2 linked regions of the Saccharomyces cerevisiae S288C genome follow. Changing the gene in region 2 together with the main gene of any one other region gives a genetic interaction. Each region holds a gene or a part of one and is shown on either strand. Other genes may lie near its edges.

What was found.
Region 1: mutations in YNR061C (region 2) and YFH7 together harm fitness more than expected from each alone (negative genetic interaction), as found in Saccharomyces cerevisiae (one large-scale study listed by BioGRID).

Annotation. Positions count from the first base shown.
Region 1 is NC_001138.5:157,070-162,710, reverse strand, and holds YFH7 (Yfh7p), read right to left. Parts: upstream 3,413-5,641; coding exon 2,351-3,412; downstream 1-2,350. Other genes in the region: putative AAA family ATPase GCN20, read right to left, coding at 1-223; FAR7 (Far7p), read right to left, coding at 1,511-2,176; YFR006W (putative Xaa-Pro dipeptidase), read right to left, coding at 4,959-5,641. UniProt on the Saccharomyces cerevisiae protein: ATP-dependent kinase that could be involved in endoplasmic reticulum membrane assembly.
Region 2 is NC_001146.8:738,934-747,701, forward strand, and holds YNR061C (uncharacterized protein), read right to left. Parts: upstream 4,608-8,768; coding exon 3,948-4,607; downstream 1-3,947. Other genes in the region: FRE4 (ferric-chelate reductase), read left to right, coding at 1,018-3,177; PUL3 (Pul3p), read right to left, coding at 5,427-6,410; PUL4 (Pul4p), read left to right, coding at 8,010-8,768.

The DNA.
Region 1 (5,641 bases), on a different chromosome or scaffold from region 2:
TCAAAATACTTTCCGATAGTTCTTTAACTTTAGCCTTTGACGCACCCGCATCAATCAATAAATCGGACACAAATTGCACTTCAGTGGACAAATCTACCTGCTTACTTTGAACAGCATCAAAAGTTATTCCGGACAAGTGGTTAAAGTAGCCCACTGCGTAATCCGTGACGATAGGGTCAATACTAGAAGCAGCTTTTCTCACTTGCGAACCGATGCTTGCCATTTCAAAAAAGTTATTTACCTTTTGTGCTATGAATCGAAGTTAACGTTTTAGCGCTTCAAAACGACTAGTCTTAGCTAGCTTACTGCAGAATATATATTTCTCTTTTCAAATGTCTTTCATTTTCTACTAGATCTAATAATACGAAAAATTTTCAGGAACAAAAAAATAAAAATCAGAAAAAAAAGAAACTGCGCAAGCCCGGAATCGAACCGGGGGCCCAACGATGGCAACGTTGGATTTTACCACTAAACCACTTGCGCTTGTTTTCTTGTGAAAACTATCCTTGGATAAATCAATAATAATGTTTGTAACTTCTCTAACCAATTTGAGATGTAACGAATGATAATTAGTGTGTTGGAATAAAAATCCACTATCGTCTATCAACTAATAGTTATATTATCAATATATTATCATATACGGTGTAAAGATGATGACATAAGTTATGAGAAGCTGTCATCGAAGTTAGAGGAAGCTGAAGTGCAAGGATTGATAATGCAATAGGATAATGAAACATATAAAACGGAATGAGGAATAATCGTAATATTAGTATGTAGAAATATAGATTCCATTTCGAGGATTCCTATATCATCGAGGAGAACTTCTAGTATATCCTGTATACATAATATTATGGCCTTTATCAACAATGGAATCCCAACAATTATCTCAAAATTCGCCAAATAGTCAAGTATTATAGCCTTGATCAATAATGGGATCCAATAATTATTAAACTATTCACCCAATCTTCACAGATCTTCTAGTCAACGAGGGAAAATCCATATTTCTAAATAGTATTATTTATCCTTGCACTTCAACTTCCATTGAAGCTGATGATTGTTTCTTAATTTTCATGTTATCTTCTGGCAGCGTATATGAGATTATACTAATTATATGAAAATATATTAATAGTATAGATACTAATCGGTAAACGATAATCGACTCTCATCACAACAAAATGCTTTTGCAAATATTGAGGAAATTATATATGTTTATTAAACATATATATCCTGTGTATTTATAGAGGCTTTCCTCCAACATTTTATTATTTTTGGCAAATAATACAGTAGCTTAGGATATCTTACGCACGCAACTGCAGGAAAAGAACGTCAAGACATTCTGTGAGTTGTTTTCCCGCAAAATGTTCCACCGTCGTTACTTTTTCAATTTCATAAACATATATCAGAATGGAAAAAGCCTTCATAAATGAGCTTCGAATTTTTGCGCAATCTCGAATATAAGAAGCATGTATATTTGTCATCTTGCTTTCATTGGAAGCAAAAGGGCAAAGTTTCAATCTTGTGCATGTAACCTCAGTAGTAATCTATAAGTGTGAGATATATCTGTCAATTTTTGCAGACCATTAACATTTTCCAAATACATCTTGAACTCTTCATCTTCGAGGGGAATTGTCTCCGTCTGGAATTTCTGCCTAATCAATTTGATAGTCTCTTTATGATGCATTAGAATGTTTCCTCTTAATTGGGCGACAATGTAATTTAAAGAGTCTTCGGAGTAAGACAATAAATCCATGGATTCAAGGGTTACCTGCTTGGATTCCTGTAAACTTTTCCGGAGCATTGAATTTTGGCGCTTCAACACTCCTAGCATAACGTCATCTTTCGCATTTTCATCCAGATTGTTGCTTAGTTGCTCTTTCTCAGTAATAGGAGCTTTCCCTCTTTGTTCTAGAAATCTATTAAATAATGCAATATTTTCCGTGGTATCGTGAGGTTCTTCAGATGTCTCATACTTGTTTAAGCTTCCGGATAATATGTCTATGTTCCTTAGTATTTTCGCCTTTTCTGCTTGATTTTCCCTCAACTGTTTCACTAGCTTGTTAACTAACAAGTACATATGATTCAAGTTTTCTGCTTGAGGAGACATATATACTTGCTGCTGCTGCTGCTGCTGCTGTTGTTGTTGTTGCATTGACAAAACGTTGATTTGGTCACTCATATCTAAACCTTGGCTTGAACTTCTTGTAGAATCAATATGTATTACTTCCCATATATGTCGTAATAAAGGGCACCTCTGCAGAGTTCATAAAGAATGCCGTTTTTGCTTGCGCGCCTTAATTATCTGTATTCAGTTCGATTTTACAAAAATATATACAAGGTTCCGCCTAACCTTCTAGTCGTTGCGGATATGGACGATATTATCTACCTTAATTAAATGATTATCTATATCCCTGCCATTCAACAAATCATTGCTGCGAAACTTCTCTCGTCCTTCTGCAATAGTCGTGACTAACCCTGATTGCAAATGCCTTTTGGCCACCCTTTCTTCGGTGGCCTCATAGTCTATGTCAATCTTATAAACAAGAAGTGCTCCCGTATCAGCTAATGTTTTGTAAATTTTCTTCCAGTTTTCTTGGTCATACAGTAGGTATAACCCTTCAAGTATAACTATCCTTGTAAATTTGGAAATACAGTACTGATCTGGAGTTGGGTCTTTTAGTGCATGGTTAAATCCTGGAACAAAGATATCAGGAATTGTTTGGCTAAAAGTTTTGGATAACTTCTCAAAAACGCTTGAAGTGGAGTAAAATTTATGATGTGAGGAGACCTTACATAGGGACGTCTTGGCTAGAATTTTACACAATTGTAAGAAATTGTTACTGTCAAACGTTGAGGGCGAACCTCTTCTTTTATGGGCAGTTTGTGGGTCTTTGAATAGGTCTAGACATCTGCGAGATAAGTGAAAACCATCCATTGGGACTATTTGCGCTATATTGATACTATCCTGGGCCAACTTGTTAACATTGACTGGATTATCAACTGCTGCGATTCTTATGGCATTCGCAGTACCACCTCTGGCAACTACTGCGGTACATTCTTCATTATTTGATGTAAGGGCTGAGTACTTGACTGGTTGAAAATTAACATCCTCAACATGATCTTTAAACAGCCCCTGATTTTCAATCATTTCAGCTACTTTATTGGGCTGGAGCGTCTTTAAAGAGTCTACTAGGTTAACCATAGGTTTCAACCTATCATTAACCTCAATAACATTTGGATGCTCTGACAAAAATGTGTGATATTTTTCATTTATAATTTGACAAAGTTCTTCCGCAATAGTAGACTTACCGGAGCCTGGAGAACCGACTAGGATAACACAAACCCTATAATTATCTTCGATACGGTTATCCAATAGCTGAAGAACGTCGTCTGCTAGTTTATGCGTATCGACCATTGTGGCTAGAATGATCCTCTGGTATGATACAGGATAAAATATGTATAGTACTAGTGAAATTAACCTAACAAGGTTACTTCATTTTTCCCGAAGAGCAATACTTGATGATGCTTAAAGGTACGCATTTAATGAACGAAAAATAACACAGTTCGTTTGAGTAAAAAGAAAGCTCACAAAATTTAATACAGAAAAAAAATTATATGTAAACTGTGGACAAGTCTGATAAGCCCAGATAACCCTTCTATTTCACGAAGGTGCAAGTGCGATTGAAAAGAATTGTTTCATGGCATTAGCTATCAGGACACGAATGCATAATCGTCAAGATATTATCGGTATGCAGCAGTTGAAGTTGTTATTAATGTTATAAGGCACCATCATATGTGGCTTTGGGATGATCTTCCGCCGATTGGTGTTCATATTACAAAAATTTTATCACGCTCGAGGTTAGAAGATGGCATCAATTATGAGGCATGAATAACAAGGTTTAAGCACTAGTAATCATAGCGGATGCTGAAACGCCAAGGTTAATGAGTTCATAAGATTAACGAATAACGAGAACTTAGGTATGAGTCAAAATTTTACTTTCATAATAGATTTATCGAAAATGTGATCAATTTTCTGAATAATTTGATAACTGTTGGGATTGCATTGTTGATCAAGACCATAATATTATGTACACAGAATATGCTAGAAGTCTCCTCGAGGATGTAGGAATCCTCAAAATGGAATCGGTAGTTCTACATAATAATATTACGATTATTCCCCATTCCGTTTTATATGTTTCATTATGCTATTACATTATCAATCTTGCATTTCAGCTTCCATTAGGGTTGATAACTGTTTCTCAACTTTTATGTCATCTTCCTGAACCGCATATGATAATATGCCAATAACATGAATATTACCAAATGGATGGCATTTCAAATTATTACTTTAACAAAAAGGAACCAAATAACTCATATAATAATTACCTATTTCTCAAATAGGTGGACGACGGTTTATCCAATTCCAACAATAATAGTAATTACTAATATTATGTAGATTTTTCGATCCAAGTCCTCGAGGGCGACTCATAGGAATGCTATCTTCAATCAACAATGACATCCGAATAATTATCTCAAGTTTTACAACATTCTCAAATATTATGGTAAAAAGAAAACTTTGCAATCTGCAAAATTCTCGAATTCTGAATCGCTAGATTTCCTTATGAGAAAAGTCACATTTAAAGGTGTTAGCAGCTAGTTATTATAGTCCTATAGTTCCTGTAACAATGAATTTTTCATAAATAGAAGCGGATTTAGCTCAGTTGGGAGAGCGCCAGACTGAAGAAAAAACTTCGGTCAAGTTATCTGGAGGTCCTGTGTTCGATCCACAGAATTCGCATTCATTTTTTGCTCTTCGGGGTTGGTCCTTAATTTTTTCAGTGCCATTCCTTATATTTCCAAATCTAGTTAAATGGTGAATCCAAGATTATAAAAAAAATATACAATTCTGTGTACAAAAGAATATACTAAACTTCTAGAAGCGAGTAAAAAAAAGTTAATACCTAAACGATTACGTGGAAACCTGAACGGGGTTTCTTCAAACCTTTTTGAACGATTTTTTCAATTTCATCAGGGTCAGAAGTAATACCAGTTAAGTTCTCGTAACCATCTTTGGTAACAAGGATATCATCTTCAATTCTAACACCACCGACATACATGTATCTTTTCAATACGCTCATATCGACAACTTCCAATCTTTCGGGGTGCTTTTCCAAAAATTCTTTGATCAAAAATTGATTAAAGTAGCAACCTGGTTCATTAGTGATAACCATATTTTCTTTCAAAGGACGGCGGATTCTTAAATATCTAAACATTGGATCTGGGTCGTCATAGTTTGGATTACCACCAACGTCGTGTACATCAAGCCCCAACATATGCCCTAGTCCATGGGGATAAAAAGCGCAAGAAGCTCTTCTTTTAAAGATTTCGTCCTCAGAAAACTCTTTCTTGAAAATACCCATACTTAAGAAATGTTTAATAAGAACCTTGTGTGTCAGTGCATGTAAATCGTCCCATTTAGCACCAGGTTTAATCCTTTCCATTGCTTGGTTTTGCATGTCAAGAACGGTTTCGTAAACTTCACGATGTTCCGCAGTAAACTTGCCTGAAGTTGGGAAACATCTGGTGATATCACTTGTATATTGTCTCCATTCTGCACCTGCATCAATTAAGATGGAATGTTTAC
Region 2 (8,768 bases):
AATCATCAGTAGCGCCTGAATCAAAAACTAACAAAATACCATATCTGTTTTAAACAAATAAGTATATCGCATGAAGTAAGTTTCCCGCACGTAAAACTACTACAACACATTTTCGCCTAGAATTATAAGAATGTTTAGTGCATTGGCTCCAAGCGAGTAATTGTACGATGCACGTGCATAAAAAGTGCTCAGTACCCAGTTCCGCTATTAGCACAGGGAAATTTTCCTTACAAGCGAGCCCTTCAATAGCTTAGGAAGTAAGGTTACTTTGGCGACGGCCATAGATGCCTGAGTAGCCTTTTTCCTTTTTCCTTCCCTCAAGAATGTGTGAAATGACGTTTTCGGGATAAAGCGGGCGCTAGCAAGAAACTTCTACTAAGAGTAACGTGGCTGAGAAGAGAAGAATAATAAAGGTATGCCATGGAATAATTTTAGAAGAGGGGGACCTGCTTCTTAGAAACACGTAATCTGAATCCCAGAGCAACTGCGTACAAAACAAGATCTTGGCTTTGTAAGCAGGAACGGCTTTTTCCGATAGAAGAACGTTTTTTGTTTTTTTATGCAAGACCGTCTAAAAATTTGCACCCTATTTAACATAGACACTCAACGAATACCATAATTGCACCTGGTTTCATAGGACCCTGAGGGAACAATACTCAAAAGAACAAAGACTACTGGTAGAGGTCCCGATATATCCCTTCACTGCCGGTGACTATGGTAAAAATGAGGTTACAATTTCTGTATCGTTAGAGAAAATTTTTTTCGTTAAGGCAAACGCATCAGCGTTTACATAGGGAATTCCTAGCGTAGTTTAATGAGCAAGGTACATCAAACCCTAGTAGTTCTTGCAGTTACACAAAATATTCGTTAAAAGCCAGTTTTTCTCCTCTTTCTTAGTCTTGGCTGACTCTCATATAAAACAACTAGAGAAGCTGAGAAAGACTCCAGTTAATCGTGTCTCCCCAGCGTCTATTTCTTGAACCTGAGATGGCTAAATAAGCTTAGGTAGGCAAAACCATGTTGTTGGTACATATTATATCTTTCCTTCTGTTCTTCCAGCTTTCGGCCGCAAAGGCCCCACCCAGTAAAACGTCTCTAATAAATACTCATGAGAGAAGGTCGATATATTCATGCTACGTTGGTTTACGTAAAGAAACATGGGGGTTCAATGGGTCCGCTATATGTCGGTATGAACCAGCAATCCAATCGATGCTTTACTGTCTTTACGAAGACACGCATGAGAAAGGGTATTCAAATAAAACTTTGGAGAAAGGTTTTGAAGAAATGAGACAATTTTGCTATACACCAAAGTTTTTGAACATGACTGATGCCGAGTTTTACACCTCATTGGATAATGGAACATACTATATACAAGATCAACCTAAAGCTGGCATCAATATCACTTATCCTATCAGACTGAACACTACACTAAGAAAAGCATACTATGATGCATACTATGGTTACTACTATAACCATGACATTCCGTATTATTTCGGGGGCATTATCTGTGCATACTTTGTGGGTGTCATGTTGCTTGCAGGTTTAATTCGTTTTTTGAATTATACCCCAATAAAAAAGATTATGTTTCAGCAAAAGCTAGTCAATTACGTGAGAGGTTATACTACTCTACCCACTCTTTATGAAAAGCATGCAGAGCCCTTCTCGTACTTAAAAGTGATAACAGGCTATCTTCCTACTAGGTTTGAAACGTTGGTTATTTTAGGCTACCTCATACTTCATACCATTTTCATGGCCTACAAATATCAATATGATCCATACCACATCATATTTGCCGCTCATAGAGCAGAAGTGGCACATTTTGTTGCGTACAGAAGCGGTATACTTTCTTTTGCACACCTGCCACTCATTGTTTTATTTGCGGGAAGAAATAACTTTCTCCAACTTATTTCTGGCTTGAAGCATACCTCATTCATTGTGTTCCATAAGTGGCTGGGAAGAATGATGTTTCTTGATGCAATAATTCATGCTGCCGGCTTTACGAACTATTATTTGTATTATAAAAAATGGAATACGGTTAGATTAAGAGTCTACTGGAAATTCGGTATTGCTACCACCTGTTTAGCGGGAATGTTAATTTTCTTTTCCATCGCAGCATTTAGAAGACACTACTATGAAACGTTTATGGCCCTCCATATAGTATTCGCAGCACTATTTCTCTATACTTGTTGGGAGCATGTTACTAACTTCAGCGGTATCGAATGGATTTACGCGGCAATAGCAATTTGGGGAGTTGATAGAATTGTACGTATCACCAGAATTGCACTCTTAGGATTTCCTAAAGCAGATCTACAACTGGTTGGATCTGATTTGGTCCGTGTAACGGTTAAAAAACCAAAGAAGTTTTGGAAGGCAAAACCAGGCCAATACGTTTTCGTTTCCTTCTTGCGTCCATTGTGCTTCTGGCAGTCGCATCCATTTACAGTGATGGATTCTTGCGTAAACGATAGAGAATTGGTCATCGTTCTGAAAGCAAAGAAAGGTGTGACAAAACTGGTAAGAAACTTTGTTGAACGTAAAGGCGGCAAGGCATCCATGAGATTAGCTATCGAAGGCCCTTATGGCTCCAAGTCCACCGCCCATCGCTTTGATAATGTATTATTGTTGGCAGGTGGCTCAGGGCTTCCCGGTCCAATTTCTCATGCCCTTGAATTAGGAAAGACAACAGCTGCAAGCGGTAAAAACTTTGTACAGTTAGTCATAGCAGTAAGAGGACTAGACATGCTCAACGCGTGTAAGAAAGAACTAATGGCATTAAAGGGCTTGAATGTTCAAGTTCACATTTATAATTCTAAGCAAGAGCTAGCTTCGGCTGAAAAAATTTCCTCAAATGAAGTCAAAAACGGTGAAACGACAGCAGAGAAGGCCCCATCTAGTCTAAGCAATTCAGAAAAAGCTCCTTCTGAAAGTGAAAATACAGAACTACCTCTTTCCCTGAATGACACGTCTATCTCCGATTTAGAATTTGCCACTTTCCATGTTGGAAGGCCAAATGTTGAAGAAATACTAAATGAATCTGTTAACCATTCTGGTTCACTTGCCGTCGTATGTTGCGGACCACCTATTTTCGTCGACACCGCTAGAAATCAAACTGCCAAAGCTGTTATCAGAAACCCATCAAGAATGATTGAATACTTGGAGGAATACCAAGCCTGGTGAACAATTTTTCATATTTAAGTAAACACTCAATGTATAATATCCTCTAACTGTTGTAATTTCATTAACGTAGATGGTTTGCGCCTTTTTTAGGGGACTCTTGTTGATTGATTCTAACTACTGAGGCTTAAGTTGTTTCAAATAACACTTTTTCAGAAAAATAATCGTATTAAAAAGCAGAAAAATCATACGTAAGATGACAGAAGCTTCATATTTAGTAACTCTGAATTGTATAACACACCAATTGCCGATAGAATATGAACCAATCGATCTTCAGCGTTCATGTACTTAATTTAACTACCTGTATTTTCTTATAAAGATAAAATTGGTGTATAATGTAAGGACCAAGAGAAAAAGGAATCCCGCATCCCAAGCAATTTCTAGTGGACTATTTCTTCAAAAAATAACTCAATAAACACCTATATAATGTTCGGAGGTTATACTTTAGTGTTTTAGAATGCAGTACCAAAAGTAATATATTGAATTAATAACTATATGATGTGTAGCTAAGAATTAAATAGTAAACGTCTTCTGAAACCTTTTAAGAGGTAATTATTGGTATTCCAAATTCATATGTGGAGGTAAGGGAGACACAAAATTATCTGGAATGACAGCGTGCTGACACCTATAAGGTTCCGTAACTTCAAATGCCTTCATTACTCAACATAGGAAAAGTGAAAGTGTGTGCCTCTAAAATATACGGAACATCGTCGAACTAAAAAAATCCATTAAGCAAAGTCAGAAACAGCATGCACTACAAGACATTTGGTTCATCATGAAGAATGCTCAATTGAACCATCAATCACTTTCTCTTGTTCGATGTTAGCATTATCCTCACTATCAGTTGAATCCTCAATGCTTTCGGTTTCAGTCCTCGCATCTTCCTGAACTTCAAGATCTAAAAGAGGCTCACTCTCTTCCAGACTGGTCTCCAAGCGGTCCACGGTATCACGTAATGCCTTCACACAAGCCTTCAAAACAGATCTTGTGCTTGACCCATTTTCCTTAGCTTGAGATAGGACTGTGATATAAGAAGCATATGTGGTAGCGAGAAATAGTATGAATAAAACGGCTTCTGGTAAAATATCTATTTTAGCAATCTTACAAGAACCTGAATAATCAAAGTTTATACCCCGTGGCATACTTGAGCAGGACATAGAACCAAATTTTGAAGCTAGAGTTACGAAAGCGGTAAACCACAGGACGGTCTGAACAATTTCCATCACGAATATTAACAGAACAGGCAAAAATCTCACAATCCCAAAATAAACTGAAGATATGATTGAAACAGCTAAGCTCAATCTAAGGATTCGATCCACTTTATAGTTTGTGATTATGGCAAAACTAGCTAACAACAAGTTAGTTACAGATAAGCCAAGTTGGAAATATCTTAGTACGTGGAAAGTAACGGATGTTGTTGTTAACTTTAACATATATGTATTGAGTTATTATTATAGATCTTGACTTGGTAACAAAATATCAAGCTGTAAGCACCGCCTGTATTCTCCTATTTATGGTTGATTATATTTTACTTCTGTTGAACCAAGAAAAAAATAGCAACTCGAAAAGTCGCTTATTCATTCACTTTTTTAATTTTTTTACATATCGCATACGTAATTGGAAACACGCAATTTTAACTTTGGGCAAATACATAAATCATTTTGAGAAGTTGGTTTTTAGTCTCCGAGAGATTATAAACCAACATCCTTAAAAGATAGTATTCATTTCTCACCTGCCAATGCAAGAGCAGATATTATTCAGCAAGCAGTACAGCAAATCGGAAGCGAATTCCAATGACAATTTGCAGAATAAGATTAGAATAATATATTGAGATTAAAGAAAAGGTTATGCGAATTGCCTAACGTCTTTAACTTTGAAGCGGCCAAACTCTAAAAAACCTTGGTTAAAATACAAGCTTTGGCGTCCATGCAAACTGATTACATCATTCAGTATAAAGTGCCATATAAAAGAGGCACACACTTTTCCACAACTGGTTTGAATATAATAGAAGAATAAATCAGAAGGAAACTTTAAATATTAGTAATATTTATTTATGGCCGCTAAAAGATTAGTCCGGATATATCACTATAGAAATGGTAAAGATAATACACTATCATTTCCAAATGTAAAATTTGTTGATAGAACGCCATAAAAAAGAGGCTGACTTTTTGTCGTCCAAGTTCTTCGAAAAAATATACGTCAATGGCACCCGATATATAGCTGGATTTGGACCAGTATATGTCTAAGGAAATCTAACACCTTTTTTTCCTGAGCCAAATAAGCGGTGGAATTGAAACAGCTACCAAAATCATACCAAATCCAACCGCAATTGAAAGCCCCAATCTTGTGCCATAAAGAGCTGCTAATACAATCGGTGCCACCAGTTTACCAATCCCAGAGATTGCTCCAATTGAAGGCATCAACTGGACCTTGAGTTTGGGGTCGATGTACATGGAAAAAAGGGCTGGAATGCTCGAAGCCAAAAAGTTGTACCCTAACAATGTAATCGACATCCCAGCTGAAAAAAATATACCAGAATTTGTGGGTGGCATTGATTTATGCTTCAAGGCTTCGGATGCTCCAATCATAAAAGCTTGTCCCAGCAATGAAACAAACAATGCAAAGATGGACAGAAAAACTTGACCGCTGTACAGCGAATCTTTTTTCTTTACCTCAACGGTCTCACTTCCAGTTGTATCTGACTCTTCTAATCCGCCATCTTTGGCTCTGCCGCAGGAGCACCCGACGTTTATTAACTTTGGAGCGAAATAGCTTCCAGTCACACCAAGTATAGATGCGACCATAAACGCTATGCCTTGAAACTTGGTGTCCCAGTTAACGTGGAGCGTCAGGAATAGTGGCATAAAATAAACTACTTCGCTCATAATAAATGACGATAGGAACATGCTCCATAGTAAAATCAAGCAGGAGATGAGTTTTTTTCTTTCGACTCTAAAAAATTGTTTCAGAGCACTGAAAAGGCTATTTTCCGAATTTGTAACTTTAACCTCAGGATTTTCCAGAACGACAACTAATAAAAGGCATACTGCAAGAATTATGAAACTGGAGGCAAATGTCGGTGCATTGTAAGAGGCAATGCGATACCCTTTAATTTTAAAATCGCAATATCCAAAAAATATGACAATTAATTGTGCCAACGCCATGAAGATACCAGCCGCTGCTCGATAAATTGATAGAAGCTTGAAAACGATACCCCTATCTTGTGCAATTGACATGATGTAACTGAACACTATAGCACCAGAAGCAGATGCTGCACCACATATAATACGCCCACCGAGAAGGGTGTTTAGCGACACTGCACCGCCGCATGAATACAAAAAATTACCCACAAAGGATAAAAAGTAAAGCCCCACTATTACCCATTTAATGGACCCAAGAAAAGCAGCAATATCCCCAATAATGAATGAAACAAAAACTTGAACTGCTGCAGAAATGGCTTGAATTCTGAACAAGAATTTGTCCGGATTGGTTTCTCCGTTCTCTAAATTGTTAGCATACTAGTTCATTGAAATTATCTTAGATTTACATTAACACTTACTTCTTTGATGTAGTCAACCACACTTGAGAGATATACACAGGAGTCGAAACTGAATTGGACAGCTATCAAAATTACAGCCAAGTATTTCAAAAACATGTGTTTCTTGACACCTAAGATTTTTTTCATTTTAATTTATTGTACCACCGTCGAGTGAAATGGATGGATTTGTAATGCAATTGAGATACAATTAAGAAGAACGAAAGAGTACTTGACAACTAGAAAGTAATGTTAACTGATCTTTTATATGATGATTATTTATTGACGGCGATTCTTTTCCAGATTAGGAAATTTTGTTCCGCTTAGAATGGGATAGGCTTGTTTGGGCGCTATACTTCTGTATCAAAATAGTAAAATCAACTTATTTTAGTAATAGAAGAGAACAGTAGGCGTTTGGTAATTCTAATTACCTAGACTGTCCCCCATTTCCAGACAGCTGTCCCATATTTTTTTGAGATTCCGACGTCGAAGCGAAAGACTAGAAGAATAAGTAAAGTGGTCCTTTGTAAGCATAAAGACAAAGGCATGTGAGAAAAGTAAGTGTCTTCGCGATTCGCCGTTGTAAATATGTATCAGCTTTTTTTACTGCCTTTTCCTGGCGGATCACAGTAATGTATTTTTTTTTTTATATAATTCGAGCTCTACACTCAAGCATACATATATAGAATAGCTCAGTTTTAATGGGCTTTCTCGAGAACTATTCACCCAGAAGGATATCCTGAGCCTTATATTTAGATGTAACTTAGTAAAGTGAGAGTATTATGAATAACTTTTGAAGCTAACAAAATATCAGAAATTAAACTTCATTCAAGAATGTATTTATCTAGAAACTGGTCTTTGGCAAATGGCTCCGATGGCACACATGCAATGTTCTTGGTAAAAACTAATTTATTATTAGGCCAGTACAGAATAAAAGTTGTCATAAGAAAACTTCATTACATTTTATCTCCTCTGGCAAGTATCCAAATTCGAAAACCTCAGAAACCAGCGTTCCACCTAAAGTTTGTTTGCCCGTATGTTAAAACAGTAGCTGCCAAGTCACTTGAGTTTGAAGAATAATCTGATGCTTTTTACATAGAGGTCTATTAGGCTCTTTACTTTGTAAGCATCTCGACTTAAAAAAAAAATCTATTGTTTTTACGGGCATCGCTGAAAAACTGTGTCTGTTCTCTTTGATGCTGTCATCTAAGATTCAATTAAAGTCGACCATCAAGTTCCCTTAATAATATCCCTTGTGAGAGCTTAATCTAAAACTACAAAAGCGTTCGCAACAAGCAGTATGGACAGATCTAAGGACGCTAGAAAGAGATCTATTAGTTTGGCCTGTACTGTGTGTAGGAAACGAAAGTTGAAGTGCGATGGGAACAAGCCATGTGGAAGATGTATAAGGCTAAATACACCAAAAGAATGCATTTATAATATTGATAAAAGGAAAGACAAGAGAAAAATCAAAAACGGGTCGAAGGTTTTTTTATTCAAGAATAATACTATCGATAACGGGAATAACTCTATACTAGAGAACAAAGGACTAAATGAAGACCTTTCTTCTCATATATATGAGAAAGAAGCGCCAAAATTCGATTCAGATATTGATATATCAAGATTTGGCACAAATGATGCTGTGATTTTTAATAATGACGGGTGGGACACTTCTCTTCCGATCGATTTTGATTTCGATGAGTTTAACACTGAGACAACAGATTTCGATGACTTTTTAAAACTATTAGGCGATAATTCACCTTCAAAGGAACAAAAAAGTCTTTCCTATTCACCTACTGCTACAGGCTTAAGCGGTGTGGTTAAAGAAACTGAGAGCGAAGATAACGCTCCTACGAGGTCTCGGCTAATCGATGTCTTGTTTGAGAACAAGCTTCACTCCGTACCAGGAATATCAAAATGGCATCTATATGAGCTGGAATCCCAATACCCAAATTTGGAATGTACAGAAGGAAATAGTGATGAAAAGTTTTTACTTTCAACTGTATTGTGCCTGGGGTCGTTGACCATACGAAAAAGGGAACTATTGAATCATTCGAAC